Coturnix japonica: one gene and its partners. The protein of the gene in region 1 interacts with the protein of each later gene in a pairwise test. Links are inferred from orthologs where the notes say so. Each region holds a gene or a part of one and is shown in the gene's direction. Other genes may lie near its edges.

Region 1 (6,327 bases):
CCCTTCTTCCCCTAAGCCCCCCCCAGCCCCGGGGTCAGGCCTGCAGCACCCATACCCTCCCTCATACCCTGCCTGCATGCAGGGTCGGAATTGCTCTCGCTCTGACAATAGGGACATGGAGGGTGGTGAGGGGGCCAGAAGATGGTCCCCATTGGGCAGGGGGGTCACTGTGAGCCCCCCCCCCCACCTGTACTACCCCACATGCAGCTTTGGTCTGCACTGCAACGAGAAAACCGACCCCAGATGACACTGCATCAGCACAGTGGTGATGGGGCAGGGGGTGATGCCGGCAGACAGCTCCCCCCCCCCCCCACAGATGGCCCCACAATGGAGACGGGTGTGGCGAGAGCATCTCTGCATCCCAATGGCAGCATCGTAACACGAGGAGACCCCTGCCCACACCCACCCTGCTGGGCCCCCAGCACCCCGGGGTGGCGGGGGGGCAGGTGGCAGTGACTGTGGCTGGAGGGGGGGGGGGGAAGGAAGGCATGGCCTCCTCCAGAGCCTGCGGTTTCCTGCGTCTTCAGGGTTGGGTTTTAATTACCTGAATTGCAACGCCAATGGGGAGATGGAGGCTGGAAGTGGGGGGAGCACACACAGAGAGTGCCCCCACCCTGCACAGAACCTCCTGGCTGCCTGGGGCTGGGGGCTGCGCTTCAGCAGAGCAAGGCCTTGTGTGCCCCCCCCCCCCGGAGGGTGGGGAGCTGGGGCGGCTGTGCTGGCTGCACCCCACCTCCGGGGAGAGGGAGGGGGGGGCTGGTGCTGGGGAGGAGGCACAGAGGCCTAGGAGGGAGAGGGGAACACGTGGGGAGGGATGTGGGGGGTTGGGAGTGGGGGGATGCGAGATGGGGGGGATCTCTGCTGCTCCGGTGACGGCTGTCACAGCGCCGGGGGGAGCACGAGGGGACCCCCACCCCATCAGCATCACCGCGGCAGGAGGACCCCAGCCCCAGCCCCAGCCCCATCCCTCTCCTCAGCCCCAGCCCCGGCCGCAGCCCAGCTCGCAGCGTTGCATCAGCCCGAACCGAACCGAACGGAACCGCACCGCTCCGCACCGCCGCCCCACCTGCTTGGCGCTGAGCTCCCGGTCCAGCTCCCGGGCTCGGTTGTGCCAGACGAGGTAATGCAGCGGGTATCTGCCCTCCGGCCCCTTCCTGCCCGAGCAAGACGCGAGCATCCTCCGTTCATGCTGGAGCGGCGGAGCGGGGCGCGGGGCGGAGCGGGGCGCGGGGCGGGGCGGAACGGGGCGCGGAGCGGGGCGGGGCGGTGGGGGGGGGGGGGTGGGTGGGAGCCGCCCGGACGGTCCCCCCCGCATCTTCCCCCCGCACCGCCCGGCCTCATGGGACTTGTAGTCACTGAGCGCGGCGTCGCCCCTTCCTCCTCCTCCTCCTCCTCCTCCTCCTTTTCCTCCCCGCACCCCCCGCCGGCCCTATGCCCCCCCCCATTGTATGGGGCTGTTCGGGGACGGCTCCGCAGCGCCCGAAGGCACAACCTGAATTCTTATCGCACCCCCCCGCTCTCCCCACCCACGGGCGCTCAACACGCAGCAGCGCGACCCCCGCGATGAGCCCGTGGGGTGCCGACCCCCCCCCGGCCCCATTTCCCTTTCCGCCCCCGTCCCTCCGCTCGTGTTTTCCGGCAGCCGCCAGAGAACAATGCGAGGTTGGGCCCCACGGCTGCCCCCCCCCCACCCTCCGACCCCTCCCCACGCCCCTATGGGGTTCCCGCGGGGTCACCCCGCTCCTTCCCCGCCCCTATGGTGGGCTGTGGCCGTGACGACCCCCCCCCAAAGGTCCCGCTGTCCCGTGACGTCACGGCCATGCAGCGGTGAGCTCAGCGCCGGGCGGGTGCAGCGTGACACGGCGCTGTGCCCCCAGCCCCGGGCGCTGATCGGGGTCCCCCGGGCTGGGGGTGGCGCCCCCCGACCCCATCTGACAACGGCACAGAGATGGGCACCCCCAGTATCAAACCCCCCCACACACACTATGCCAGGTTCAGCCATCGTGGGGGTGGGGGTCGGGGTGATTTGGGGCCTCGGGGGTGCGGGTGCAGGATGGGACCCTGGGCTGGGAATGGGGCTGGGGGCAGGGCCGGGGAGTGCATGGAATCAGAACCGGGACATGGGCTGGGTCAGAACCTGGAACGGGACACGGACCAAGGCTAAAACCAGAACCAATGGATGCCTAGAATGAGACCAACTCAGAACCAGGACCAAAATGAGAACCAGGCCCGGGTCCAGAGGATGCCCAGGATCCGGATCACTATCAGGACAAGAACCAGGGGTTGTCCAGGACAAAACCGGGACCAGGACAAGGTCCAAGACTAACCCAGGACCAAGACCAGGAGCAGGGAATACCCAAAAGCAGGACCAGAACAGAGGCAGGGAATGCCCAGGAACAGAACCAGGATGGGGACAAGAACAAGGAGACGCACAGAATCAGGACTAGAACCGGGACCAGAACCAGAGGATGACAGAGCCGGGATGAGGACGAGAACCAGCACCAGGACGGGCCCCGATCCGCCCCAAAGGGCCGCAGCTCCATCACCCGCTGCTGCTCAGGGCGCGCCGTGACTGCGCTGCGCTGCGCTGCGCTGCGCGGGGCGGGGGCGGTTCTGCTCCTCCTCCGCCGGGGCCGGGCCTGAGCCGCTTCCTGCGGAGCCGCCGGGGCTGCGAGCAGCCGGCAGGGCAGGCGGCAGGAGGGCGAGGCGGCCCCGAGCCCCGCCGCCCCCCCCCGACCCCTCCCCAACCCGACCCCCCCATCCCCCCCTTCCCCGGCCCCGCTCCGCGCTGGCGCAGAGACCCGGGCCCGGCTCGGCGCTGAGGATGTCCCGGAAGGCGCAGCGGGCGGAGGTGTGCGCGGACTGCAGTGCCGCAGGTAGGGAAGGGCCGCGCCCGGCCCCGTCGGCGTTATCCCCCCCCGACCCTCCTCCACGCGGGGCCGTTCGCAGTTCGGTTGTGCGTGTGCCTCCATCCCCTCCCCCCCAGCATCAGCACCTGGATGACGCCCCCCTCCCCCTTTGCTCTGGACCCCGCTGCCCCGCTCTGAACCCCCAGCTTTGTACCCGCGATACCCCGGTGCCTCCCTCCCCCCCCCGCACCCCCTATTTACCCCAGGGGTCCCAGTGACCCCCACCCTTCCTTCACACCCCGTGCTGAGACCCCAGGAGCCCAGGGTTCCCCCTGCATACCCTGCCGACTCCCTCTTTGCCCACAGCAACCCCACAACGTGCCCTAAATAAACCCCCCCCCCGTTCCCCCTGCAACCCTCGGTGCACCCCATTCCCCATCCCTTTGTACCCCTACTTTCCCTCTCGGCACCCAGCACTGTGCCCCCCGGTGCCCCTGTTCTGCACCCAGGAACCCTACAGTGAGCCCTAAAATGCCCCCTGTGCCCCCCAGACCCCTTGTTCTATCTCTTACAGCCCCTTGTTGCCCCCCATTACCCCCCACTCTTCACCCCCTACTTTACCCCCGGGTTCCCCTTTTACACCCCGCACTGGGAATCCCCGCTGCACCCCATTATCTCTATAACATACCCTAAAGATGGCTCCCCCCCCATATTGTGACCCCCAGACCCATCCCTGCGGCGCTGGGGGCAATGAATGAACGTTGAAAGCGGCTCAGAGCCCTGAGGATGGCGGCCACGTGCATGGGGGGCTGCGGGGTCACCCACTGCTGTGGGTCAGCCCCTGTTATAAGGTACCCGGCGGTGCCGAGGTTCCTATGGGGGAAATGGAAAGCTTTTTCTCCCAATCCCTTATCGCCCGGCGGCCATGGGAGGAAATGAGTTATAAAGTCCAGAGGCCGCTTCCGACATCGCGGGGCCGGGAGCAGCCGGTGTCGGGATGTGCGGGGTGCCCGGCTCCGGCATCGCCCCCGCGGCGCAGGGATGGAGTTTCCCATTGCTCCGGGTTATGGGGTAGCACCGTTCTGCTGTGCCCTCAGCCGCCCCGATCCCAATGAAGGAGGAAGGGGTGGCACTGCGAGGTGCTGTATGGGGTGCTGTATGGGGTCCTATATGGGATCCTATATGGGGTGCTATATGAGGTGCTATATGGGGTGCTATATGGGGTGCCCCCCCCCCGGCACGCAGCATCCTGTTCCCGGCAGCGCCCCGTGGGCCGCGGTGCGGAGGCGCAGATGCGGCGGTGCTGCTGCCAAGCGCTGCCATCTGCCCGGGCGGTGCTGCCAGGATTTGGGGGGGGGGACGACGACAACACTGCCTTGTGGCCGCTGCCGGCTGTGCCCCCCATATTAGAGGGGTCGGGGCTGCCTGGTGTGGGGCAGCAGTGGGGTTTTGGGGAGGGGGTGGGAAGGAAGCGCCGCACTGGGTGATGGGGGTGGGTCGCTGGTGGTGCTGCTGCCCCCTCCCACCCGCAGCCCTTCCTCCCGTGGGGCGGCGCGGTGTTTGTGTAGGCCCTATAGATGCACAACACTCCTCTGCTATGGCACAGGGACGCTGGGGACCGTATGGCCCACCCTGCCCCTGCCCCCTGTGGAGGGGGGGGTGGCACCCCATCTGTCCCCCATCCCTTCTGTTGGTGCCGGGGGATCTGGACCCATTGGGGTGCTGGCTGTGGGGAGCTGCCCCCAAAGAACGGTGGGGCCCCCGTGGCTGGAGCGGGGCCGGTGCCAGCACAGTGCTCAAACGTCCCTTTGTTCTCCTGGGGACACAAAGGGCTCCAGTGCGGCCGAGCGGGGCCGGGCAGGGGGCGTGGGGCTGCTGGGGGGGGCACAGCCACTGAGTCCGTGATGGCTGAGTGGGTGGGAGGGCACCCACCTGTATGGGGACACCCGCAGCACAGGGGACACAGCATCGGCACGTAAGGGTGTATTGCACAGTGCTGGCATCGCCCCCGCTGCTGTCAGCCCTTCTGATGAGGGGGCCAAATCCTGCCCCCCCCCCTTGGTTGCTAAGGGAACCCTTTGGGTTTCCCCTGGCGATGGGCTGAGCCCCTCTCCGTCACCCTGGAAACCGCCATGTTGCTACGGTGACGCTGCCCCCCCCCACACACAGCCCCCCCTACATAACACCCCACGCCCCCTGCAGACCCGGGCTGGGCCTCCATCAACCGCGGTGTGCTCATCTGCGACGAGTGCTGCAGCGTGCACCGCAGCCTGGGCCGCCACATCTCCATCGTCAAGCACCTGCGGCACAGCCCCTGGCCCGCCACGCTGCTGCAGGTGGGTGCACCCGGGGGGGGAGGTTACAAGGGGGGTGTCCCATCGGCTCACTGTGCCCCCCCCCATGCATAGATGGTGCACACCTTGGCCAGCAATGGGGCCAACTCCATCTGGGAGCACTCGCTGCTGGACCCGGCGCAGGTGCAGAGCGGGCGCAGGAAGGCAAATCCCCAGGATAAAGTGCAGTAAGTGAGGGCTGTGTGTGGGGATGGGGCTGTGGGGATGGGGGGAGCTGTGGTGGATGTCCCCCCCCCCTCACCCTGTGTCTCCAGCCCCACCAAGTCAGAGTTCATCCGCGCCAAGTACCAGATGTTGGCCTTCGTGCACAAGCTGCCGTGCCGGGATGATGATGGTGTCACCGCCAAGGACCTCAGCAAGGTGGGGGCACGGTGTGATGGGGACCCCCCCTTGGTGCTGCTGACACTCCTGGCACTGACTGCTGCCTCTCCCCCTGCAGCAATTGCACTCCAGCGTGCGGACGGGCAACCTGGAGACGTGTCTGCGGCTGCTCTCACTGGGGGCTCAGGCCAATTTCTTCCACCCGGTGAGCTCTGGGGGGGGCAGACAGCCCGGGGGGGGGGGCATGATGTTGTCATCACGGGGCTGACGCCGGCTGTACCCACAGGAGAAGGGCACCACACCGCTGCACGTGGCTGCCAAGGCAGGGCAGATCCTGCAGGCAGAGCTGCTGGTGGTGTACGGTGCTGACCCTGGTGCGCCCGACGTCAATGGGAGGACACCCATCGACTACGCCAGGTGAGAGCGTTGGGGTGGTGGGGGGTCGTGTTGGGATGGGAGGGACGTGGCCAGCCCAGGGTTGGTGTCACCCCGGCCGTGCCCCGTAGGCAGGCGGCCCAGCACGAGCTGGCAGAGCGGCTGGTGGAGTGCCAGTATGAGCTGACCGACCGGCTGGCCTTCTACCTGTGCGGCAGGAAGCCGGGTGAGTGCTGCACCCATCGCATTGCATGGGGGGGTTAGGAGGGGCCGGAGGGGCTGATCTCACCACCCCTTATCTCTGTGCAGACCACAAGAACGGGCACTACATCATCCCGCAGATGGCAGACAGGTGAGTGCCCGGTGCTCACAGCTGCGCCACCACCACTGTCCCCCCTGGTGTCCCCACTGGGCCGAGGGGGGGACCC
Region 2 (5,603 bases), on another chromosome or scaffold:
CCTTGAAATGGGAAGGCTGGCAGGCAGGGATCCCTGTGGGTTCCAGTGTGACAAGTGGTGCTCTGGGGGTGGGTTGGAAATGGAGACCATTGCCTCCTGTACTGTGATTGTGCATGCCCATAACTTCGGTGCAAGGATCCATGCAGTGCCATGGGGGACAACGTGCTGACCTGGGAGTATCTTGCTTACCCAACAGTGTTGCTGACCGACACAGAGGTGGGCATTCAGGACCCTCTGGGACTCGGCAAGCTGGGTGCTCAGGCTGAAAAGGATCGGCGCCTACGGAAGAAGTAAGTGAACCTCATTCTCTGCCACAGCAAGAAAATGGCTCTGGCTGCTAAGCTGTGACACAGGGCTAGGAATTGCTGAGAAGACTTCTTGTCTTCATCTCCTCTTGAGCCTTGTTAGCTCCTTTATTGCTTTGTTTCCAGCTGGTTTTTGCTTCTGATAGTCTCTTCTCTTTTGCTAGTTACTTTCTTCCCCTCAGGCTCCCAGTAAATCACTCTTCTGCTTCTTTTTGCTCCAGGCATGAACTTCTGGAAGAAGCTCGGAGGAAGGGATTGCCCTTTGCTCATTGGGATGGTCCCACTGTTGTCTCCTGGCTGGAGGTGAGGCAGAGTGTGCCCACACATTGTCCCCACACACAGTCTGCAGTGTGTTCACCTGGCAGGGGTACAGAACCCTGCAGTCCCATTTTGCTCCATGCATGTGGGTGGTGGTTGCAAAACAACCCACGCTCAGCAACTCCAAACCCTTTCCCAAGACATGGAGATGTTTTCTGTGCTCTCCTGTTGAGAAGGGAGGTGGCAAAGGAGCATCTGTAGATCCAATTGAGTGGAGCTGGGGGAGCAGAGCAATTCCCCATATCTCTCTCATGTCTACAAGGCTGTCCTTTGGGGTTTCTTCAAGCTCTTGAGTTGAAAGGCTCAGTGGATGTGCATTCCCTATGCTCTACCCATGAGATATAGAGAAGCTGCTGTGTCCACAGGCAATCTATGCAAGGTCCAAACAAAAATGGATCCCAACCTGGGTATGCAGCCTTGATATGGAGCTTCAGACTGGATGTCCTCTACCCTCCCTGGGTGGATACCCAACTTTGCCCTGTCTCAACAGCTCTGGGTAGGGATGCCAGCCTGGTACGTTGCTGCTTGCCGAGCCAACGTGAAGAGTGGAGCCATCATGTCAGCCCTGTCTGACACCGAGATCCAGAGGGAGATTGGCATCAGCAACGCGCTGCATCGCCTAAAGCTGCGACTGGCCATCCAGGAGATGGTTTCACTCACGAGCCCATCAGCACCACCCACCTCACGGACAGTAAGCACTCCATCCCACAGCTGTTTTCCCCATCCCCTGGCACTGTAGGACCACAGTGGCTCATCAGCCCCCAGAGAGTCCCAGTATTGCAGGGAAGTGCAGCAAGAACTTGCCAGTGTTTAACACAGATCTCCCACTTGCCCTGGATAATACATGGGGCTGATAGTGGGATTGTAGCTTGTGCTGGTCTCTAAAGCCCCCAAGGGGTTAATGGTGCCCCAGTAAGCCAAGACATGTCTGTAGAAATACAGTCAGCAAAAGGAACAGCCCCAGGCATGCCCTCACATGGCCCTGTCTGGGGTCACAGCTGTCATAGGCAAGCCTGCAGGCTCTGTGAACATAAAACCAAAGTATAAAGGCAGACAGAATGCCACTAGATCTTGCTGCACTCTCTATGGCTCTATGGACAACCCAGATGTCACCATCCCAAACTGCAGGGATGCTGCTGTGTGCCCCCTGGCTCTGCTCCACATGTGAGGATGCTCTGATCCTCCTTCACCCTGAGCCGGGCTTGTGTCCACTGTAGCTGTGAGCCCTGGTTCTACAGCAGCTCACTTTATCCTCTCTGCCCTTTTCTCCTCCAGTCCTCTGGAAATGTCTGGGTGACCCACGAGGAGATGGAGAACATGGCGACGTCCACCAAGACGGTGAGGCTGGCTGCCCTGCCGCCATGGCGGATCAGTTACCGAGCTGAGCTCCAGGCGTGCATTAAGGCAGTAAACCCCGGGAGGGAAGGGGATCTTTGCTGTGTCTCATGTGTCAGCTCTTGGCCAGCACCATGCACCTGTTTAGAAACCATCTTTCAGTCTTTAATATCCCAACGATTTCTAAAGCTGGCTTAAAAAAAAAACATCAGATGCATTTTCCTTTGTCAAGCCCCCGTGGATGTTGCTGGGTTTCTAGTGCCAGCTATGAGTTAAACAGGAAAGAAAAATACAAGAGTGATCTCAGATAGATGCATGAGACTGAGATCCACATTGGTCAGCCAACACCCAGAGAAGTCACTTTCCCATTGGCATTAGCATGCCCAAATATTGCCCCTGCTGTCCCTACCGCTGGTTGATACGTTGAGGTTCCTCAGAGAGATGTAGCCATGCTCCCAAGAGCTCTGGGTTCTTTGGAGGGATGTAACCACGCTCCCCTCTCAGCAGCTTAATGACCTTCTGTCTGTGTCTCAGAGCTGGGGCAGCAGTTTGGGTTGGCAGTGTGAATTAATTTGGCATTTTACTGAAGCTCATGCCTGCTGTCTGGGTGGCACAGAGGTTTGTTATTGGCAATGGGATCTTTTGGGGACAGGGAGTTCAGAGTTACAGCTGGAATGCCACACTTTCCCTTGTAGGTTTTGTGAGGCTGAGAGAAACCAGCCCGTGATAACAAGCTGCAAAATTGGCAGATTGAGGTGACCCAAGAGCTGCCCATATTTCCCATGATGGATGTCTAAGCTCTAGTGTCTGTGCCAGCTAATGCCAAAGACCTGTTAAAAAAGCCCCATCCAACATCCTTGCTTGACAGAGATGTCATGAATCCTGAGTCCTTGCAGGGCTGGGATATCCCCAGCACCCTGCTAACAAGGCTGAGCCCCACAAGCCCATCATAGTCACACCATGCTGAGGGGTCCCATGCTTGGCACACGTGGCATAAGCTGTCACTGTGAAGTGCTGCCGTGTACTGACTTTACCTGTCCTTTCTATTGACATGCTGCATGTGTCACGCTTAGGACACAGAGGAAGGCAGCTGGGCACAGGTGAGGTCTCCACTGTGTCTCATTCATTGAATGGTACGTGGGGTGGATGTGGGAGGGAGAGCTGGACACGACGGGGCACCCAAGGAATAAGCATGGGGCATCAGCACATGATGAGTCCTGCTTGGAGTTGAGCCTGCACACAGTGCTTTCTCTATGAGCATAACATGGGTCATGGCCAACAGGACCATTCCCCCCAGCTCCTCCAGCCCAAAATAGGGTTGAACACCCCAGTCCACATGTAGTTCTCAGGACAGTGGACCACCATGCTGCAGCACTGAGCTGTCACTGATCTCCTGGGGCTTTCTGCAGGTCTTCTGAGCCCTGTTTTTTTCCTAGCTTCTCTATTTGCTTTCACAGACACTGGCCTATGGGGACATGAACCATGAGTGGATTGGGAACGAGTGGCTGCCCAGCCTGGGCCTCCCTCAGTATCGCAGTTACTTCATGGAGTGTCTTGTTGATGCACGGATGCTGGACCACCTCACCAAGAAAGACCTCAGAGTGCACTTGAAGATGGTGGACAGTTTCCATCGGTGAGTCCTCCCCTTTGGGAGGTCCTTGAGGTGCAGTACCTGCATGTGGATCAGGGGATGGGGGATTTTGAGGGATTCTCCTCTGTCTTGGCCAGCCTCAGTGCTGGAGGGTGGCTCATCTGGGCCAAACTTGGGACAGCCTGCTCTTAGAACAGGATAAAACTGATGGACATGGGGACTCCCACAAAAGGGAGGGATGTTCATTCTCCATCTTCTGGCTAAGATCATCCCTTTGAAATTCATCTATGATGACTCAGTCCTACACCAAAACATCCTTTGGGCACATGGAGAGTTAGTAGGAAAGTGGGTCCCTCTGCAGGGTCCCTCCAAAGTGTCTGCCCTCCTGAAGGTTGGGTGATGTCTTATGTCCTTGCAGCACCAGCCTACAGTATGGCATTATGTGCCTGAAGAGGCTCAACTACGACCGCAAAGAGCTTGACAGGAGGCGAGAAGAGACTCAGCACGAAATCAAAGGTCAGCAGCTACATCCACCATCGTGGAAAAGCCGACAAGAAACCTTCAAAGAAATGCCCAGTAATGGTCTCTCTCATATTCATAACACAGCACTTGCTAAATGAAAATCAGTATTTCTGAGCAATGCTCATGCCTGTAGGGCTGTTCTCTCTGCAGTATTTCCCCTGCTAATTGTTCCAAGTACCTTTAATCTCACCCCAGTCAAGCATAAGTAAGGAGGGAGGGTGTCAAGACATGAAGGGCCTTGTCCCAGCATCAGATCAGCGTCTCCTCCTGCTCCTTTCAGATGCTTAGGACACCCCCCAGCTTATCAATCTCTCCTTCCTTGTTGGCTATCCTGACATTTCCTGTGCTTAGATTACAACTCATTATTGATAATGCCCCTAATTACATCATCGATCCAGGGCTCTTAGGATTAATTTTCACAGTTGTTTTCTGCCTGTCATTTCTGCATTTAGTTTGGTAACTTGAAGTGAGCCATTCCTGGCACTTAGCTACACGTCACTGCTGCTGGCCCAGGAAGGAGACTCAGCCTGGGGCTGTGTGGCAGGACTCCAGCACATCCCAGCCTACTGCACAACCAAGAGCACTGTCTGGGCTTCCTTGTAACATGCTCTTGTTCTTTTGCAGACGTGTTGGTGTGGACCAATGACCAGGTCATTCATTGGATCCAGTCCATCGGGCTCCGCGAGTACGCCAACAACCTCGTTGAGAGCGGGGTGCACGGGGCACTCCTGGCCCTTGATGAAAACTTTGACCACAACAGTCTGGCTCTCGTGCTGCAAATCCCCACGCAGAACACACAGGTAAGGAGAGCTTCCATGGGAGATTTTGGAGGAGGATGGCTGGGACATAGCTGCATTGCGACTCCCACCAACTCAACTCTGCCTTTCAAAGCAGAGCACTCTGATGGTCAATGGGCTTTTTCTCCATCGTTCTCAGGGCTGGGTTGGGGAGCTGTGCTTGGAGCTGCTCCCATAGATGGAGAACATTCATTTGATGTTATTTTCAGGCTCGACAAGTGTTGGAGAGGGAGTTCAACAATCTGCTTGCATTGGGCACAGATCGAAGGTTGGACGATGTGAGTACGAAGACTCTCCCATACTCGAATTGTGCTGGGTACCTGTTCTTGTTCAAGAAATGGGAAGAACAGAACTACTTCTCTCTCCCCACTTGTCCTGCGGAGACAAGTAGCAGTTGCACGAGCAGTGGAATAAATTAAAACTAAATCATTTAAAATTCAAAACAGTCTATGGAAGCAAGTGAGGTAGAATCCTGTGCATCTCTTCTAGTGCTTAACAGGTTGAATTTGAGGAGGAATCACCCAGCTTTTCTTGCCAGCTATTTTTTTGTAGCTTTTTAGAGGCACAGATGTTCTGTTCATGACATGTTAGCAGCTGGTAAAGCGTGGGTTGGAGATACCCTGTTATGCAGTCAGAAAGCTGTTCACATTGAGTCACTGAAGGAGGGAATTTATCTAGATCTGTCCTACATACAGCTTTCTTGCATGAGATATGATAGCAGAGCTGGTCAGAGCT
Region 3 (6,263 bases), on another chromosome or scaffold:
ATGGGGGACCATGTCAAAGGCCTTGCTCAGGTCCAGGTAAATGACATCGGTCGCCTTCCCTTCATCCACCAACGCCGTCACTCCATCATAGAAGGCCACAAGATGTCCCTGTGCATTGCAGGGCAGCTGGACCAGGTGGCCTTCAGAAGTTCCTTCCAACTCTAAGGATTCTATGATTCTATTGCCACCTTCTTTACGTCCTTCCTTGGGCCTGTTGCTGCATAGTTTGGTGACATTTGGCAGCAGTGAAACTGCTTTCCCTGCCCTCCCCACTGTCTCCTCCGCAATTTGTTCTGTACCCTCTGTCTGATCTACTGAGTCATTTCCCCTCCTTAGATATTTCCTCTATTTATATACATATATAAAAAGCTTCCTTTTCCCTCCCACTTGTTCTTTGCTCATTACTTACTGCAACGTAACGCCTTGCAGCTGGGCATGGGAGTGCCCCATGCTGTTTCTCCATCACTGTGGCTGGGTGTGCTCCTCCCAGCAGCGGTCACTGGGTGCTGGGGTGCTGCCAGCCTGCCTCAGCTCTGCTCCAAATCCTACTTTTTAGACGATGCACTAGCTGCATAGCCAGGCTCTTACCATTCCCTTGATCCTCTGTTTCAGGGCTCGGCACTGATGCAGTTCTACCTCCTGGAAGATGTGAGCCATGGAGCCAGCACTGTCCCTGGGACCCTGAAGTGCAGCAGGATGAGGCTGCATCAGGGTTTACCTGGCAGCTGTGCCTCTGGAGGGAGCTTTGGTGGCCTCCAGATGGAGGGGGCTGGGAGCGATGCTCTCGTGCAGGCTCTGAGCCAAGCCGGCTGCATGGGACTCTCCAGCAGCTTGGGGCAGCCCCTGCAGTGTATGCAAGGGGACGAACTGTGAAAGGCTGGGAGAGCAGGCTCGAGGCTTCCGTGGGCACAGGAGGGGTGGGAGGGTAACAGCTATTTAACAAGAGAATGTTCCTTTTAAATTATATATTTATTTTAGATAAATTGTACATAGTATTTATATTTATTGGAGGTCTGCCTCTGTACCCTTTGTGTAACTCAAGATGACCCTTGTGTGGGTCAGACCTCCTTTATTTTTTAAGTGCAATGTAATATTCTAATAAATAACTTTGTAACAAACACGTGAGTTGTTGATTTAAGAGATGTGGGTCAGGTCTCCAAAGGGTACAGATAACAACTTGCCCTTTATGGTGGGGTACTAAAACTACCCAGGAGCATCTGTGGAGCAGCGGCACAGATCTCAAGCCTGCTGGCCTTGGGGTGCAGCAGGGATAATCCTGCTGGGGTACTCCCTGGAGGGGGGAGGGTTATGGGGAGCTGGGGTGTGGTCTGCCCTGCTCCTTGCCCTGGAACCTGCAGCTGTGGCAGCCCCGCGTGTTCTTGTATCTCGGCTGGCTCATGAATGGCTGCAATGCTTGGGTGAAGCAAAGCCACCTTGAGTTCAGCCACTGCAATCTAAATCCAGTGCCCAGCAGGGGCCTGGAGCAAGGCACTGAGCCCTGCCACCCAGCCTGCCTCCCTCGAGTGCTCCATCCCACTGCTGACACTCCTTGTGCCCCAGCACTGAGCCCTGCAACCTGCAGCACACCTCCTCCTCCACGAACACCGGCTGTTCTCCAGAGCAAGGCTCGTAGGCAGGCAGAATCTTTGGATTTAATTTAAAACCAAATCCAAACCAACACAGTGTGTTACAGCAGCCTGTTTGATAACCAAGTGTTGGTGCAGTGCAGTGCCACCATTGCTCACCTCACAGCCATGATCTGCATGGAGCAGAAGAGCTGCAGCACTGCAGGAGCGGAGCTCGGCCTGCGCTTCTGAGGGAGGCAGCCAAGGAGAAACCCCAAAGCTGCAGTGCTGCCTCCCTTTGGGAACAGCCACAGCCCCGCGGGTGGTTCCATTCCCCCCAGAGGAGCATTGGTGGGATGCTGTGAGGGCTGAGCACCTCCCCGATGAAGGCAGGCTGAGGGAGCCAGGCTTGTTCAGCCTAGAGAAGAGAAGGCTGTGGGGTGACATCATTGCAGCCTTCCAGCATTTAAAAGGGGATAATAAACAGGAGAGGAATCAGTTTTTTACTGGTGTGGACAGTGATAGGACAAGGGGGAAAGGTTTTAAGCCCAAGGAGGGAAGGTTTAGGCTGGATGTTGGGGGAAGTTCTACACATAGAGCGGGGAGGTGCTGGCACAGGCTGCACGGAGGGGCTGTGGATGCCCCATCCCTGGCTGTGTTCAAGGCCGGGCTGGATGGAGCCCTGTGCCATGTATCAGATATGGAGGTCGGTGGGCTGGAACCTGCTGCTCCTCGGCCCCCTCCCACCCCACCCCGCTCTAACCTCCATTCGGCCGCAGCCCGCTCCGCCCCGCCCTCCCACCGCCCCCACTGCGCAGGCGCCGAGCGTGGGGAAGATGGCGGCGCCCGTTGACTTGGAGCTGAAGAAGGTAACGGGTGTCCGGCTCCGTCCGACGTGTTTCTCGGGCCGCTGCTCCCCCTCCTCCCCCTCCTCCCCCTCCTCTCCCCGCAGTTTGGGCCGGCTCGGCCCGGCCGGGCGCCCCCCGCCCCTCTGCCCCCGGCCCGGCCGCAGCCGCTCGACGTGCCGCTCTGCCACCACAGGCCTTCACGGAGCTGCAGGCCAAGGTGATCGACACGCAGCAGAAGGTGAAGCTCGCCGACATCCAGATCGAGCAGCTCAGCAAGAGCAAGAAGCACGCGCACCTCACCGACACCGAGATCATGACGCTGGTGGACGAGACGCGCATGTACGAGGGCGTGGGCAGGATGTGAGTAGCGGCCGCACCGTCCCTGCAGAAGCAGGGATGCTGGGCTCCACGAGGAGCATCGGGGGAGCATCAGTGTGCACCCGGAGTATCGGTGTGCACCCGGAGTATCGGTGTGCACCCGGAGCATCAGTGTGCACCCGGAGCATCGGTGTGCACCCGGAGCATCGGTGTGCACCCGGAGCATCGGTGTGCACCCGGAGCATCGGTGTGCACCCGGAGCATCGGTGTGCACCCGGAGTATCGGTGTGCACCCGGAGTATCGGTGTGCACCCGGAGCATCAGTGTGCACCCGGAGTATCGGTGTGCACCCGGAGCATCGGTGTGCACCCGGAGTATCGGTGTGCACCCGGAGTATCGGTGTGCACCCGGAGCATCGGTGTGCACCCGGGCACGGTGCCCTGGGCAGCACCAGCGAGTGTGTGTCGGGCTGGTGGTGTCCACGTGCCTCAGCATTTGGAAGTGAGCACGAGGCTGATGCGCACTCGAGGAGCCGCCTGCCCGCGCTGGGTGGTGTCTCACACCTCACACCTGCAGTGATGCACCTGGGTTATTCTGGCAGCGCAGCTCTGACTGCAGCAGCCTCATGAAGTGCAACACACAAACTGGGTTCCAGTCTGACGTGTGTGCTGACTCACTGTGCCGTGCTAACTTTCTGTGTGTGCTTTTTCTCTTCCATTGTGAACTGGGCAACAGTGATGATTACGCTTATTCAGGGATGATGTTTTATAGAAGGTTGAATCTGATTTGATTGCTGCCCACAGGGCGATTGCATCTCCCCGCTCCCAACTCTCCTTTGTGCTGCAGCAGACTTGTAGCTGGTTCAGCCTGCTGTTGCGGTGAGTTCCTGGGCCTGATTCATGTCATCACACAATCTGTTGGGTGAGTCTTAGGGAGCTGCGGGCTGGGAAGCCAGGACTGGTATGTGGACTGCGCTTCACTGGTAGTTGTCAGGTAAGACCAATGGGAAAATGAAGCTGTGCCTGGGTTCATCCTGGGCAGCCTGATCTAGTATTTGGCAGCCCTGCCTGCCGCAGAGGGTTGAAGCTCAGTGGTCTCTAGGTCCTTCCCAACTGAAGCTCAGTGGTCTCTAGGTCCTTCCCAACTGAAGCTCAGTGGTCTCTAGGTCCTTTCCAACTGAAGCTACTCTGTGATTTTGATGGGGGGGTGTGTAGCGTGACAGCCTTCTTTGGACCACTGTGGAATTACTCCTGTTAAGTTTTCCAAGCAGATGAACTTGGGTTTGTGTGGAGCTGCTGATGATGTTGAAAGGAGATAGAATTTGCAGATCTCTTGCAGGAGATAGCTGATATGACCCAGGCAGGCTGTAGGCTCATTGTTTTTGTCACAGAAAAGACAAACTAAGAGATTCTGGAAGCAACAATTTTTCTTCAAATTTTTTTTTATTTTTTTATCTTTAATCTTAAAGCAGGGTATACTTCTCCATTATGAAATAATTCCTCAAGATTCTTTGAAAGCATCAATATATCAGCCTTCATTGTAAAATGTTGGTTGTGAATGAGATAATGTTTCTGTGCTAACTGAAAAGTACTGTCCTGCTTTCAACCCAGCTGCTGGAGTCCAGTCTTTTTGAGACTGTACTCTTGCTTACCTTCATGTGACCGGGCAGGTGGTTCAGACTCTGCTGTGCAGCACTTTGCTCCTCAGTGATGGTAGAAAAATACTATCTGCATGATATTAGTCTTCAAATGTTTGAAGTGTGAACTCTTTGCGGGTTCTGTTGTCCTAGTCACTATGCAAATTCAGGTTAAGAGTGCTCATGCTCTCCAAACTACTTATTCACTGATTTATTTTACTTTTATTTCCCCTTCCTTAGCTTACTGCAGTGTTTCTGTGAGTTATGCCTGATTTGGCCATGGGGCTTAAGTCTGCCTTTCAAATTAGTAGTTCTATTTGGGTAGAACGAGCTATTCCAGGACTTTGTGAAAACGGAGTGTTTCAGGAATGTGATGGTGTGCTGTATCCTGGGAAGAAGTCTACCTAGTTCCATACTTCTGCGCTACTTGTAAAGAATTATGTGGTTCCTGCTCTGAGCCCAGAGCCTGCTTCCTGCCCAAGAGGCTTTCCCTGAGCCACTGGCAAATGTGAAAGCCCATTTGTTGTTCCTAAACATTTACTGTAGCTAATTTTGGTTTAACACAACCATTGTCAGTGCCACATAGTATGAGGTGATGAATTGCTGTGTACTGTACATATCTGTTTGACTAGGATATCATCTGAGTAGTGGCACCGTGCCAAATACATTTTCATTCTCTTACTTCATGCTCTTTGAAAGGCTTGTTATCTAGCCTGAGACAACTACCACTGTGGTGGACTCCTGCTTAAGCTATTTGTGAACTGATATCATCGTGCTGCTTTGAGAACTATGCCGAAAGCTTAAGCTTCAGAATTTTGTCTGAATGCTTCCGACCTTTCCCTTCACATTCCATTAAATAATGACCTGGGCCAGCTTCTTACTTACCAAAGGAAAACATCAGGGGTTTATGCTGGGCACAGTGAGGAGACCACTGCAGTTTTTCATGCCATGCCAAAATAGATGTTCCATTTTGTTTTGATGTTGCTTTATCATTAGTTTTCTCTCATTTGCTGTAGAAGTAAAAATCAAGCAAATGCTGTAGCACACCTTTATGCTTCAGGGTTTCTGTGAGTGTACTATTTCTACAGAGATGGCTGTGATAATGGAATTTTTTATTTTATTTTTTCAAAAACAGCTCAGATTTTTTGGCAGAACCGTACGTGAGTGAAAGCTGTGAGAGGATTCAAGGTTTTTGAGCATTTATTGGGTTTGAATGCACTCCCATTTTTAGTACGATTCTGAATTTTGCTTCTAAATAAGACATCACAGATAATTGTAAACTTTCCTAAAAGTTTTCCAATGGTGTATTTTTGGATGCAGCAGCAAGAGCAGATTTTTGTTTTGTTTTGCGCTGTGTGTGTGTGTGGTTCTCTGAGGACAGATCACTGCAGAACGTGGTAGCCAGCCTCTGCTTCCTGCTCAGGTTTCCAAAACTCACTAAGAATGGAAGGACAGGCAAGGCTTTGTATTTATGGTTTGGTTACTATGTATAGGTCGGCCTGTGAAATCCAAGTGGCCACTATTTCCCATTGCCTTAGGTAAGGCTTTGTGCAGGTTCAGTGCTGAACCCCAGCTGCTGAGTAGCTGGCAGGTGCTGTGATACTTAAATGGATCCCAGGACAAATGTGTTGCTGTCTGCCTCTGGCCAATATGTACATCATAAGTATGAAGCTCACTTATCTTAATATTGAAAAAGTGAAGGTTTAATTTTCCACATAAAGTCTGGTTTGTCCAGTGAAGTAGAAGAAAACAGTTTGTATCCTGCTGCTTGTGACTGGACCACTGTTTATACGTTGTGTTGAACAAGACAGTTGTTCATGTGGAACAAAAGGCTACAGGGCACCATAAGTTTAGTACAGAGACACAACAAGAACTGCTCCTGGGAGAAGAACTCCC
Region 4 (6,058 bases), on another chromosome or scaffold:
CACCATCCTTTAAAATAAGTGAACTTTGGGCTGTTTGATCTGAATCCCATTGAGCTATTCCCAGAGCACAAAAGCTGGTGGCTGAGGCCACATGCAGGCAAGGCCCATGTCTGGCATGCCCAGTCACTACTCTTAAGAACAAGCATTGGCTGAGAGCTGCATCTGGCATGGGGAAAGGAGGGCACAGTAGTATTTGACAGAGAAGGCCGCAGTAAAGCAGCAGTAGGTGGTGTGGGTCAGGAGCAAGGAATGCCGGCCAGTTCCAGGCCTCAAAGAGCAGGACGGGAGCTCTCATGGCTGGAATGGGAAAGTTTGTAGAACATGTGCCTTGTTCTTCACTCAGTGTGTGTGTACTGATATCAATCTATGACCCTACAGATGGTTGTCACAAGGGCGGGCCACCAGCTACTTAGGGAGATCTGGTTCTGTCCTTCACGGCTTGTTCTTTCTTTGATTTTGGGTCTTCTTGGCCTTCTTTCTAGTTCTTTTGTGAAGGAATTGGAGGCCTGTGCATTTGCAGCTGAAGAGGAGGAAGAAGAACTTCCAGCGTCCCAGGCAGCAGCTCGGGAAGAAGAAAAACTGGAGGCAGTGAGGAGCTACATCCGCTCAAACCCAGCCCTGTACGAGAGGATTCTCTTCTATGAACCTATTGAGCTGGCTGACCTACATGCAGAGTTGAAACTGAATGGTATTAAGATTTCCAAGGCAAAGCTGCTGGACTTCTTAGATGCTCAGTGCATCACCTTCACCACAGCTGGAGCCCGGAAAGAGAAGGAACAGAAGAGAAAAGGGAGCAAAAAAAAGAGGAAACGATACTGAATAGATCCCACTCCTCTATCCTGAAAATTTCCTACATGGAGGCCTTCCTCCTAAGGTGGAAACCCTATTCCAGGCTGGTGCTGGCGGAGGTGGTGTGATCAGTGGGTGCACTGCTCCTCCTTGTGGCCTGCTGTCCAGATGACACGCTGGAGAATGGATCTGAACTGAGCTTCAGCTCTCAGCCCTCCTCTGAGCTGCACAAACTCCTCTTTCAAGGAGCCTTTTTACATTCCCTGAGTTTCATCCTGTGCATTCTCTTCTCTTACCATTTTAGCAGGTTTTAGATCCCCAGCATCTCTTCTTGTTGGTGCTTCTGAGGTGGTTGCTTCCTCCAGTGGTGCTTGCCATGGTATTTGCCCCAGCCTTGGCCTGAACCCTTCATGTTCCAGTACTGACTGCAATAACCCATGTGTGTTTCACAAGTGGCTGCAGCACAGTGCAGGTGTTTTTCTGCTCTATTTGTGGTGGCTCCCCGAAGTGCTCTGTGACACCAGATGTCAGGTAGAAGCCATTAAGGTTTGTACGTTCAGTTGCGTGTGTTCACTTACATGCAGACATTGGTGCTAAAGACATTACCAGCTCCGTTTTCTGAGCACTGTTTTACCTTATCATTGTAGCCTGTGATCCCAACAGTGGCTTTTTTAAGGACAATGTTGTAGTGACCAATGGATCTCTCCAGCAGTTCTCATGTCCTGATCTTTGTGGACCTGTTTCATTTCCAAACTGAACCGATCCTTGGTTGGAAACTGTCTGGGTCTCTTGGGGAAGCCTCGGACACTAAATATTCACCTTATTTCACCTTATTTATTAACTTTTACAACACCTTTGGATTTTGCTCTGAGTCTGCAGATTCTCACTCAGCAAAACAGGCGCAATAATCAAAAGAAGCAAAAGCTTGATTTGAATGTATTTATGTATTTGGAACGTCTTTATTATTTTGTTTGATCCAGCACTGCCTCGGTTTTATTTGATTTATATACAATAAATAATTCGGAAGGAAATAATACTAAGCTATAAGTGATGTCTCCCGAGGGACTTTTAGGGGTGTTTCTAAGCAGAAACGTTGGGTTTGGATGAGAGCAGGAGGAGCTGTGCACAATGTGGAGTTCACATAGTCTGTGTGAAGAGGCGACATGGAAATGTATTGCTATTGACCGAAGTGATAAGGATTGACCTATGTGATAAGGATTGACCACGCTGCCGTCGGCGCATGCGCAATATCAAACCGAGGGGGCGGGGCTTGCCGTGACGCCCCGTGTCCCCATTGGCTGCCGGTGAGGCGGGGCAGAGCGGAAGCTCCACCCCTCGCTGTGACGTACAGCCTTCTCCTCCAATCACAGCTCTCCCCGCGGGGTAAATGCGGCCCGGCAGCTGCGGCCCTTTGTCATACCGAGCGGGCGGCGGGTGAGTGTGCGCCGCGTCTCCATGGCAACAAGGCCGGGCCGGGGTCGCGCTGAGGTGGCGGCGGGCCGGGCTGCTGGGCCGCAATAGGGCTGAGGCCTTGCTGAGGCCTTGGGCTTGTCCTGGGGTGGTCGAGGTGTCTGTCTGGTCCTTCCTAGCGCTGCCCGGTGGGTGCTGGGCCCGGTGGGTGCTGGGCCCGCTGGGTGGGCTGGTTGCGGCCTGGTGCTGAGGGTGGGGGTGGGTCGGGGCCTTGTTTGGGCCTCCCCGTGTCCATCCTGTGTTACCTCCATCAGCCTCAGCGCTGGGAGCTGCGGGGTGCGAGGATGCTCCGGGCTGCTCTAATGTCTGTGTGTGTCACTGCGCTGCCCTCACAGCCCATAGGAGAACATAACCCCTGAAGGCAGGGCTGGACAAGTGAGCTGTGCTCTCTATAGGTGCTTCATTCCTCAGTCGTTGATGTGCTGGGCTGCAGCTCTGGGAGATAAACAGTGTTTGATTGGGCTTGGAGCGTGGCTTAAATCCAGGTGGAGCCTTAAATCCAGGTGGGATCTGGTAACGCAGCCATTTGTTCTGTGGGCTCCTTGGTCATGACCTCAATCAAAGATCCCATCTCTGGGGTCTGCCTTCCCCTTCAGAGATGCTTTAAAGCAAGGAGCTCAGCCGTGTGTGTTTGGGGAATGCCTTGGAGCTGTGTGCTGGTTGAATAGCAGAGATGAACTCTGTGTCGAGTGCTTGTCCTGTCAGTTACTGAACTCATGAGAGTGCCCAAGCAAAGCCAGGACTTCCACTCTTGTTTCCTTACTGCAGCAGTGTCTCTTGGATTCCTTTAGAAGGCATAGAATTATTTATTCTGCCTGCACTGAGAGCAATAGCTGTGCATGTTGAGTGTGAAGCTTGCTGTGTAGGGGGAAAACAAACTGCTGGCTGGATGAGATGGAGGTATTTTATAGGAGGGGCCGAGTGCTGTTATTGGGAAAGAAATATTTGGAGCTGAGCTGTTCTATACCAAATCTTCTCCAGCCCTGCTGTCCTGACTCCTGTGGCTGCTGGATCCCTCCCAGGCAGGCTGCTGGTGACTGTGTTTACTCTGAATGTCAGCCAGGAGCCTCATAGCAAATGCAGCAGTGCTCCAGCCCATGAAGCACAAGCAGGCAGCTGCTGGGAGCTCTGTATGTGTAGGTCACTGCCTCTCTCAGAGGAGTGGAGTGCTCCAAGTGAGCATCGCTTTGACCAGCAGCTGCATCGTGGGACAGAGCTCTGCAGGGTGTCCAGGGCTCCTGAGAGGTTTAGAAGTAGGTGAGGAACTGGAGGGTGGTTAATTTATAACTAGCATCCTTTGCTTTTGCATCTCATGAGTGTGGAGCCACTGACTGTTCTGCCAGCTCATGCTCTGTATGAACTTGCTTGGCCTGCTCTCAACTGCTTGTCTGATCTGCTCTCCTCCTGTCCCCAGATGCAGCCTACCAGGGAGGCCTGAACCCAGCACTGGGAGGGGAGCCGGCTCCTTTACAGCCATGGTTTGCTGAAGAGCCAGCAGGAAGCTTAGCTCCTTGCTCATCTGCCAAGGCTGCCTGTAATTTGGGGGAGTAATCAGCACAAAGCTGATTACAGCTCCATTTTATAAATGGGATGCCTGGATTTATGGCCAAGCCAGAGTATTCAGCTGGTGTAAGCCAAGTGTCTTGCTCCTGGCTCTGGGTACTTCTTGTGTGTGCTGTTATATCGTATGAGAAAGAAAATCTACCTCTGTTTTGGAATGTTATCTGCTCTGTTGCAGGGAAGGCTTCTATAAAAACATCAGGTGGCTGCCCCTCACCACCCTGCATGGTGGTGCAGCTGCAGGGCTCCCTGTTGGTCTGCTCTGTGTTTCTTCCCCATTGCTCTTGTTAAGGCAGCTTCCCTCTAAAATCCCTCTCTAATTTTGCCTTTCAGAGTCTCTGATCTCCAGAACAAACCAGCAATGCCGTCAGTTATGGAGAGCTCAGAAGGAGGAGATGAAGGGGAAAGCTTACGCTATGAGGATGTGGAAGATGACAATGTCAGGTGGGTGCTGCTGGCACTGTCTGGTAACGTGGCACAGAGCTGGGTTTGGGCAGGGCATATCAAGCTCAAGTTCAGTGATCTCCTTGTTCATACGTGGTCTTCTCCAGCTGAAAACCAGTCCAGCCAAGACTGAGGCTGCCCTGCAGTTGGGGTTAGATGTTCCTACAGCATAGGAACAAATGCAAAGGCTGCAAAGGAACAGAGGCTGTTCCTGTAAGGTGATGTACGCAGAGCAAGTTCTGCAGAACTTCTTCAAAGGTCTGAACAGAATGGTTGGTTATCCCTCCAAACAACAAATAGCTGTGTGCTGTTATACACAGTGCAGCTGCTCTCTAAACTGTGTTTTATAGGGAAAATTTTCCTTATATGAGAATGGTGAGTTGGGTGGTTCCAGAATACTGAAGTGAGCTGATTGCTCTTTGACTTGACAGGCTCAGCTTCATGGAGGTTACCACTCCCTGGCTTTCCTGTTGTGTTCAGCCTGTTAAATGCATGAGTATGGAGCATTCAAAACATCTTTTTTACAGCTGATATAAACATGTTACCTGTTGCAAACCAGCCATAAAAACAGGGTTAGGTGCACTGTGGCATAATTTTGTGGGTGTAGGTGTTGATACCTGTACTGAATTCCAGGTAAGTGCAGTAGCTGTGATCCAAGATAATAAGTTTTTAGAAGGAGAGCTTGTGGAAACATGCAGAACCAGCAGAATTCAGGAGAAATACATGGTTTTTGTTTTTGTTTTTTTCCCTTTAAGAGTGTTCATGCCCTATTTTGTCACTGGGCTCTCATCTTCAGTGTTTGCCCAGGGAGGCTGTGGATGCCCCATCCCTGGGGGCATTCAAGGCCAGGCTGAATGTGGCTCTGGGCAGCCTGAGCTGGTGGTTGGTGACCATGCACACAGCAGGGGGGTTTGAAACCAGATGATCTTTGAGGTCCTTTTCAACCCAGGCCATTCTATGATTAATGCAATACCTTTGGTGCCCCAGTCAGAAAAGCTCAAGTTCTGCCTGTATGTGTCCATCCACTCCTACCCAAGGCTGTCTTCTGCAAAGAGACCAAGGAGGATATTAAGGTGGGAGCCCTGGCTGCTGCCACCCTGACACTTCCTGGGGTGATGCTGGTTCCAGCCAGCAGGGCTGGCCCAAGGGATCCCTGCTCTGAACCTGCACCAGACTGAGCCTGTGATGGCAAGGCTGGAGGGTTCCTACAAATTCAGTAAGGACAAACTCATGACTGTATGTGGAAATGGAGTGAAAGGAGCTCTCCCTGCTTGCCTGCAGCCCCAGTGACCTTTCAGAACTTCTGAAGGAGGGAACTAAGGAATCCCATGACCGTGCAGAGAATACTCAGTTTGTCAAAGACTTCCTGAAAGGACGGATCAAGAAGGAGCTCTTCAAGGTGAGTGTGGCTCTGCTTGGCCTTGGCAGAGAAACTCTTATATTTGATGACTGCAGCTGGGGACTTGCTGAGGCAGAACAACACAGGCCCATGTGTAAGGGGTGGACGGGGGGCTGAGGGGTGGGGGGTGTTGTCAAGCCTGGGGTTTCCTTGTGTAGCCCAGTTCTATGAGGGGACAGAGTAGTCACAAGGTACAATGTGCAATAAAGCAAACAACTTATGTTCACTGTGTTTTATCCATAGCTGGCTACCACAGCACTTTACTTCACATACTCTGCTCTGGAAGAGGAAATGGATCGCAATAAGGACAACCCAGTGTTTGCTCCTTTGTATTTCCCTCTAGAGCTTCACCGGAAAGAAGCGTTGATTAAAGACATGAAATATTTCTATGGAGAA
Region 5 (6,294 bases), on another chromosome or scaffold:
GTTGTTTTTAACCTCCCAATCAGAGCAAGCAGATGAGACCTGCATCGTTAATAGTAGGAAAGAAATATTCTTTTCCCAGCGAGGAAGGGGGGGTGGAATACTCACAGAGCAGCCATCCCGCCCCCATCCATATCCCAGGGTTATTTCTCAGCTCAGCTAACACAGCTGGATTTGTTGGGCTGGTGCATATTTATCCCTGACAGGTGTAGCTGAGGATCAGATTGAGAATTAGCAGTTCTGGAGCTAAAAGGAGATAGATATAAAGGGCCGTCGTGGATGGTACATGATGTGTAAATGACTCAATTGGTGCTTCATAGGATAGTGGGATATCCTGAGTGTGTCCCCCCTCTCTATGGGTCTGATTGAATCTGGAGCGTCTGTTGGGAGCACATGGAAACAAGAGCAGGGATTGCTAGAGCTTAAAAACAGGAGAGGATGAACCGTCAGCATCTGCTTTTATTTACACATTGTGGGAGGGTGTGAGGGACAGAGCTCTGCATGGAGAAAGCTTCATGAATCCATAGAAATACACAGCTGTGGCTGGTGCTTGTCCTGTGCTCCCATGGCCCAGCCTGGGTTCCCATTGCCCAGTGCCATGTGTGCCCAGGAGGTGGCAATGCTCCTTTACACAAGGGCTCGAAGTAAGTCTCTATTGAAGGAGCATTACTGATATTGACCCACTGAATGGAATCTCTCCAGCCCTGGACTTCAAGGCACCATCCCTGTAACATCCAGGCTGCCAAACAGCAGAACAGCTTTGCTTCCTGCTGTCTCTGACAGCAGAATTTCTCTTGCACAGCATCAATCCCATGTTAAATTATCTATTTAATTGCCTAAAAATAGCCCGGCTATTTCCCCCTCCAAAGGCCAGCGTCCCCTTTGAAGTGGCAGCTGTTCTCCTGCTTTGCTGAAGTCTCCACCTGGTCTTGAATTAATTTCTCCCAGTCCTCAGAAATTCCTCCGTCCTAAAGCCTCACTGCAGGGAATGGGCCATCAGCTGGGATTCTGGGGTCCCTGTGTGTGTATGTATGGGGGGGATTCAACCTTAATAGGGCACAGCTGTATCTTATTCCTGTGTTCCCCCCCACAAAGGAGGGTGAAAATAACCCAAAATGGAGCTCTGGGACAGGCAGGATATCCAGTATGGGGGGGATGCAATGGGATTGGAGTGACTGGTGACGATTCCAACTCAATCAAGAAGGGGAAAAAAATTGAAAGAGAAATAAAACTAAGAAAAATCACCACTGCATTTCACTTCCCCCATCAATAACATTTTAATTTTCCAGCCTGACATGATAAGATCCATTGCCAGGGCTGAGCTGGATGCGTTTCAGCCATCAGTCTCAGGCTCTGATGGCTCTGCCATCCATCACCTCCTGCACACTGAAAGCAGGGCACGAATGGCTGTGATACAACACTACAGCCCCACGTCCTCTGTGGGAGTGGGTGTGGGGCCCTTACAGCTCTTTGGGGACAAATACAGGGCATAAAGAAAGGTATGGAGCTGTGTTGGGATGGACAGGATGGGTGTTAGGAAAAGGCTGAGCACCAGAGGGAGGTGGGCATGGCACAGCTCCACAGGGCAGGGGCACCCAAAACCATAGGGGTTGGGTGGAGGGAGTTGGACTTAGTGGTACCTGTAGGTCCTCATTGACCAGTGGTTGACTAATGGTTAACCAATGGTTGACCAGCTGTTGACTAGTGGTTGGCTTCTGGTTGACCAGTGCTTGCCCAGCAGTTGACTTGTGGTTGGCTAATGGTTGACCAGCAGTTGACTAGTGGCTGACTACTAGTTGACCAATGGTTGACCAGCAGTTGACCAATGGTTGACCAGTGGTTGACCAATGGTTGACCAACAGTTGACCAGTGGTTGACCAGTGGTTGACCAATGGTTGACCAGCGGTTGACCGGTGGTTGACTAGTGGCTGACCAATGATTGATTAATGGTTGACCAGTGGTTGACCAGCAGTTGACCAGTGGTTGACAATGGTTGACCAGCAGTTGACCAACAGTTGACTAGTGGTTAACAGTGGTTGACCAATGGTTGACCAGTGGTTGACCAGCAGTTGACCAATGGTTGACCAATGATTGACCAATGGTTGACCAATGGTTGACCAGCAGTTGACCGGTGGTTGGCTAGTGGTTGACCAATGGTTGACCAGCAGTTGACCAGTGGTTGACTACTAGTTGACCAATGGTTGACCAATGGTTGACCAGTGGTTGCCCAATGGGAACATACCGGTGCTGCTCAGGGCGGTTCCCGTACATTGGCTTCGCTTTTTGGCCCTGCGGAGCCACCGTAGCGTGCATCACATGACCGACGCAGCTGCCAGGAGCCGCCGAGAAGGGCGGAAGTGAAGGCGACAGGGGGGCGGCATGGAGGGGAGCCTGGAGCAGCACCTGGAGGACACGTACGGACCGGGATGGGGGCGGCGGGACCGAGGGGCTGGGGGGGGGAAGGAAGGCAAGGCCGCGGGCTGGGGGCTGGGTGTAGGCCGGGCTGACCGCCGCTTCTCCCGCAGCATGAAGAACCCGGCCGTGGTGGGAGTCCTGTGCACCGACTCGCAAGGCCTCAACCTGGGGTGTGAGTATGGGAGCGACCAGGGCAGGGCCTGGGTTAGGGGTGGGCATGGGGACACACATAGAGCCCCTATAGACCCCCATAGAGCCCCTATGGACCCCCTATGGACCCCTATGGACCCCCCCCATAGGACCCCTATGGACCCCTATAGAACCCCTGTCCCCCATAGAACCCCTGTGGACCCCCCCGCATAGAACCCCTATGGACCCCCCTATAGGACCCCTGTGGACCCCGCATAGAACCCCTGTCCCCCATAGAACCCTTATGGACCCCCCATAGAACCCCTATGGACCCCCTGTGGACCCTCATAGAACCCCTATGGACCCCTATAGAATCCCTGTCCCGCATAGAACCCCTGTGGACCCCCCCGCGTAGAACCCCTATGGACCCCCCTAGTAAACCCCCTATGACCCCCCCAGTATAAGACCCCTATGGACCCCGTATAGAACTTCCTGTCCACCATATAACCACTGTGCGACACCCCCCATAGAAACCCCTGTGGACCCCCTCATTAGAACCCCCCCCCAAACCACAGAACCCCTGTGGACCCCCCTGGATAGAACCCCTTGGTGACCCCCCATTAGAACCCCTATGACCCCCATAGATAAAAAAAAAAAACCCCCCCCCCCCCCCCTTAGAAACCCTGTGCCCCCCTGGCATAGAACCCCTTTGGGACCCCACCCAGTAGAAACCCCTATGGACCCCCTCCCCATATAACCCTATGGACCCCCCCCATATAACCCTATGGACCCCCCCATAGAACCCTATTGACCCCCCCATAGAACCCCTATGGACCCCCCATAGAACCCCTGTGGACACCCCATAGAACCCCCCCCATAGAACCCCTGTGGACCCCACCCCCAGTAGAACCCCTGTGACCCCCCCACATAGAACCCCAGACCCATAGAATCCCTGTGGACCCCCCATTACGAACCCCTATTACCCCCCCATAGAACCCCGTATTGGAACCCCCATAGAACCCCCCATAGAAACTCACGCATCGCAATGCGTGTCTGGATGCATACCCCCAAAGAACCCCCCCATAGAACCCCTTGGACCCCCCCCATAGAACCCCTGTGGACCCCCCTGCATAGAACCCCTGTGGACCCCCCTGCATAGAACCCCTGTGGACCCCCCATAGAACCCCTATGGACCCCCTTTGGGACCCCCCCCCCATAGAACCCTTATGACCCTCCATAGAAACCCCTGTGGACCCCCTGTAGAGCCCCTGTGGACCCCGCATAGAACCCCTTATGGACCCCCCCATAGAACCCCAATGGACTCCCATAGAAGCACCAGCACAGGTTGCCCCTAGCTAGATGTGGGTGCTCTGGCCCTGGAGACACTGGAAGTCAGGGATGGGGGCTGTGAGCATCTGCTGGAGCTATGGGTGTCCCTGTTCATTGCAGGGGGGTTGGGCTGATGGCCTTTATATGTCCCTACCAACTCATGTGATTCTTTGATCTGGGGAGGTACTACATCAGCTTACAGCAATAAGGGAAGGAAGTGGGGATGGGGAGCTGCCTCCCATCACGGTGTGCGTGAGTTCAACCCACATCTCCCCTCTTGCAGGCCGAGGAACGCTCTCAGATGAACATGCTGGAGTCATCTCTGTGCTGGCCCAGCAGGCAGCCAAGCTCACCTCCGACCCAACCGACACTCCTGTGGTGTGCCTGGAGTCAGACAGTGGGTGAGCATCCAGCCCAAGGCTGCTGCTCTTCCCTTTTTCCCCACCCCAAATCTCCAGAGCAGAGCTCTCCATCTTCTATTTCACTGGCAGAGCTGGAGGAAGCCCCATTGCTGAAGCTGTGTTGGGAGGGGGGTATGAAAAGAAGTCAGATTCATGGGACCTCAGGCTTTGGGAACTGCAGAAGCAGCTGGAAGCCTTTCAGGGGCTGGTGGTTGCTGCAGCACTGTATTTCTTTTGCTTTTTGGATCCCCATGGATTATTTAGCCCATGCTGTAGTGTCGTTTTGGTCAGCAGGACTCCATCATCCCCCTTTGTGGGAACAGCTGACAGGTCTGGCACTGAGCTGCCCATCTGGTTTCCCAGCCAAGTCAGCTCCTGCTCTCCCAGCTGGTTTCTCACCTTCCTCTGACAGCACTTTCCTTGCTCTAGGAACATCATGATCCAGAAGCATGACAGCATCACCGTAGCAGTGCACAAGTTGGCATCCTGACCGTGGCATCCTGATGCTCCATTCCCTGCTCCAGACCAGCTCCTCCTCATTCTCCTTGGCTGTTCCAATGCAGAACACGCTTCTAGTACCAAATCTGGGCTGAAGGCTCTCCCTCTCTACTTACCAGCTCCTATGCATCTATCAGGGTTTCCAGCTCACGTTTTAGCAGTCGTGCTGTTAAAGACGTGAGTCACTCACCAAGCTTGTGTAATGATAGATACTACAAGGTGTGTGTGTGTGTGCGTGGCCTTATTTGTTGGAGAAATCAATAAATGACCTGCAAAAACTGTTGCTTCTCTTTGATCCTACTGTGAAAGCCCATTGCTTTCCCTAAAGCCAATTGGAGGGACTTCTCCCAGTCTGATTCTTCATTGGCATTGCTGCAGAGAAAAGGGACCAAGACTTGGAGGTCCCTCCAGTAGAAGAGATACAAATAGTTCTCTATTCTCCTAGGAAATGTTTAGCCTCCTCTGGTTAAGCTTTCAGTGAGAGCAGCTTATTATTATGCTTCGGATTGAAGTTCAAACCTCAACTTGTTGGCCCTCGTGTGAACTGTGAACGGATGCTGATGACATCCCCGCGAATCCTCTCTTCCCTTTAGAGGTTTGAGCATTTGGAACTGGGCAGAACAATCCCATAGAAAGGCCCTGAAAAGCTGCTTTGCTCGAATGCTTCCGCAGCACAAGGGAGCAGACAGGAGCTGGCCTCATACGTGGAGCAGAAAGGAGGCTTCACTGCAGAGCATAGACCAACAGATAGGGCAGGGTTGGAGCTAAAACTGCATTCACTGTGTAAAACAGACATTCCTGACCTCACCATCACTGTTATGTATGTAGCAGGCTCTAAGGATGGGCTGCTCTGCACAGCGCTCTCATGGTGAGGTTGGTGCTAATGGAGGTGAGCAGTGCTACATCATGCCCATCATTTACCTCCCCTTTATTTTCTTTAATGCTCAGTTTCCAAGCTCATCTCCTCAAAACAGAGTGCAGACGCCCATTTTAAATAGCCCCAATAAATAGCCATGGGCTCCTATAAGAGCAAAAGTTAAAGGGCTGTGAGCACTCAGCTCTCCCATTAACAAGCCCTGGGATCACTGCCCTCATTATTAGGGCTGCTGGATACACAGGGATGGTCTCAGATGCTGCCACCTCCCCCCCTGCACCCTGTGCACCCCAAGCTCTCATAGCACACATTGCAAACACTGTCCCACCTATATAAAAGCTCAGCGCATGTGCTGGATGCCCAACTGTAAGGGAAGTTTCTCTATGCTGTTCTGTTTACCCCAGGATATCCGCTCCCGGATCCCACAGCAAGAAGGGAGTAAAGCAGGGATGGGACAGCCAGCCCCCCCGACCCCACAGCATTACCCTATTACAGTACTGCTGTCATCTCCTCCTGTAGGGCTGGGTGGCCACCAGCAGCTCTGGCTTCCATCCATCAGCTGGACACGGAGCCTCGGTCGGACCCCAGGAGACGGCACAGTTTCCTCCATAAAGGAATCATGCTCTGCCATAGGGGAAGGGGAGGGACTCC

The links.
Region 2: the proteins of GIT1 (region 1) and PPFIA4 interact in a two-hybrid assay, tested with the Homo sapiens proteins (2 studies listed by BioGRID). The link is inferred for Coturnix japonica from reciprocal best matches to the Homo sapiens genes GIT1 and PPFIA4.
Region 3: the proteins of GIT1 (region 1) and PFDN1 interact in binary tests that used the Homo sapiens proteins (3 or more experiments, as listed by UniProt). The link is inferred for Coturnix japonica from reciprocal best matches to the Homo sapiens genes GIT1 and PFDN1.
Region 4: the proteins of GIT1 (region 1) and HMOX2 interact in a two-hybrid assay, tested with the Homo sapiens proteins (2 studies listed by BioGRID and IntAct). The link is inferred for Coturnix japonica from reciprocal best matches to the Homo sapiens genes GIT1 and HMOX2.
Region 5: the proteins of GIT1 (region 1) and LAMTOR5 interact in a two-hybrid assay, tested with the Homo sapiens proteins (2 studies listed by BioGRID and IntAct). The link is inferred for Coturnix japonica from reciprocal best matches to the Homo sapiens genes GIT1 and LAMTOR5.

The regions. Positions count from the first base shown.
Region 1 is NC_029534.1:4,842,652-4,848,978, reverse strand, and holds the start of GIT1 (ARF GTPase-activating protein GIT1), read left to right. Parts: upstream 1-2,712; 5' UTR 2,713-2,824; coding exon 2,825-2,876; intron 2,877-5,051; coding exon 5,052-5,185; intron 5,186-5,257; coding exon 5,258-5,370; intron 5,371-5,457; coding exon 5,458-5,563; intron 5,564-5,642; coding exon 5,643-5,729; intron 5,730-5,810; coding exon 5,811-5,941; intron 5,942-6,030; coding exon 6,031-6,125; intron 6,126-6,208; coding exon 6,209-6,251; intron 6,252-6,327. Other genes in the region: ANKRD13B (ankyrin repeat domain-containing protein 13B), read right to left, coding at 1,067-1,177. UniProt on the Homo sapiens protein: GTPase-activating protein for ADP ribosylation factor family members, including ARF1.
Region 2 is NC_029541.1:1,342,869-1,348,471, forward strand, and holds part of PPFIA4 (liprin-alpha-4), read left to right. Parts: intron 1-196; coding exon 197-290; intron 291-526; coding exon 527-608; intron 609-1,113; coding exon 1,114-1,314; intron 1,315-1,898; coding exon 1,899-1,961; intron 1,962-3,031; coding exon 3,032-3,058; intron 3,059-3,415; coding exon 3,416-3,591; intron 3,592-3,967; coding exon 3,968-4,065; intron 4,066-4,695; coding exon 4,696-4,871; intron 4,872-5,077; coding exon 5,078-5,146; intron 5,147-5,603. UniProt on the Homo sapiens protein: May regulate the disassembly of focal adhesions. May localize receptor-like tyrosine phosphatases type 2A at specific sites on the plasma membrane, possibly regulating their interaction with the extracellular environment and their association with substrates.
Region 3 is NC_029528.1:15,556,996-15,563,258, reverse strand, and holds the start of PFDN1 (prefoldin subunit 1), read left to right. Parts: upstream 1-2,309; 5' UTR 2,310-2,401; coding exon 2,402-2,434; intron 2,435-2,606; coding exon 2,607-2,773; intron 2,774-3,534; coding exon 3,535-3,609; intron 3,610-3,730; exon of another isoform or gene 3,731-3,864; intron 3,865-3,896; exon of another isoform or gene 3,897-6,263. UniProt on the Homo sapiens protein: Binds specifically to cytosolic chaperonin (c-CPN) and transfers target proteins to it. Binds to nascent polypeptide chain and promotes folding in an environment in which there are many competing pathways for nonnative proteins.
Region 4 is NC_029529.1:10,967,160-10,973,217, reverse strand, and holds the start of HMOX2 (heme oxygenase 2), read left to right. Parts: upstream 1-2,124; 5' UTR 2,125-2,176; coding exon 2,177-2,223; intron 2,224-2,280; exon of another isoform or gene 2,281-2,387; intron 2,388-4,152; coding exon 4,153-4,263; intron 4,264-5,544; coding exon 5,545-5,662; intron 5,663-5,905; coding exon 5,906-6,058. Other genes in the region: structure-specific endonuclease subunit SLX4, read left to right, coding at 483-819.
Region 5 is NC_029541.1:1,787,353-1,793,646, reverse strand, and holds LAMTOR5 (ragulator complex protein LAMTOR5), read left to right. Parts: upstream 1-2,276; 5' UTR 2,277-2,376; coding exon 2,377-2,411; intron 2,412-2,522; coding exon 2,523-2,584; intron 2,585-4,153; coding exon 4,154-4,271; intron 4,272-4,700; coding exon 4,701-4,761; 3' UTR 4,762-5,048; downstream 5,049-6,294. Other genes in the region: SLC16A4 (monocarboxylate transporter 5), read left to right, coding at 6,027-6,294. UniProt on the Homo sapiens protein: As part of the Ragulator complex it is involved in amino acid sensing and activation of mTORC1, a signaling complex promoting cell growth in response to growth factors, energy levels, and amino acids.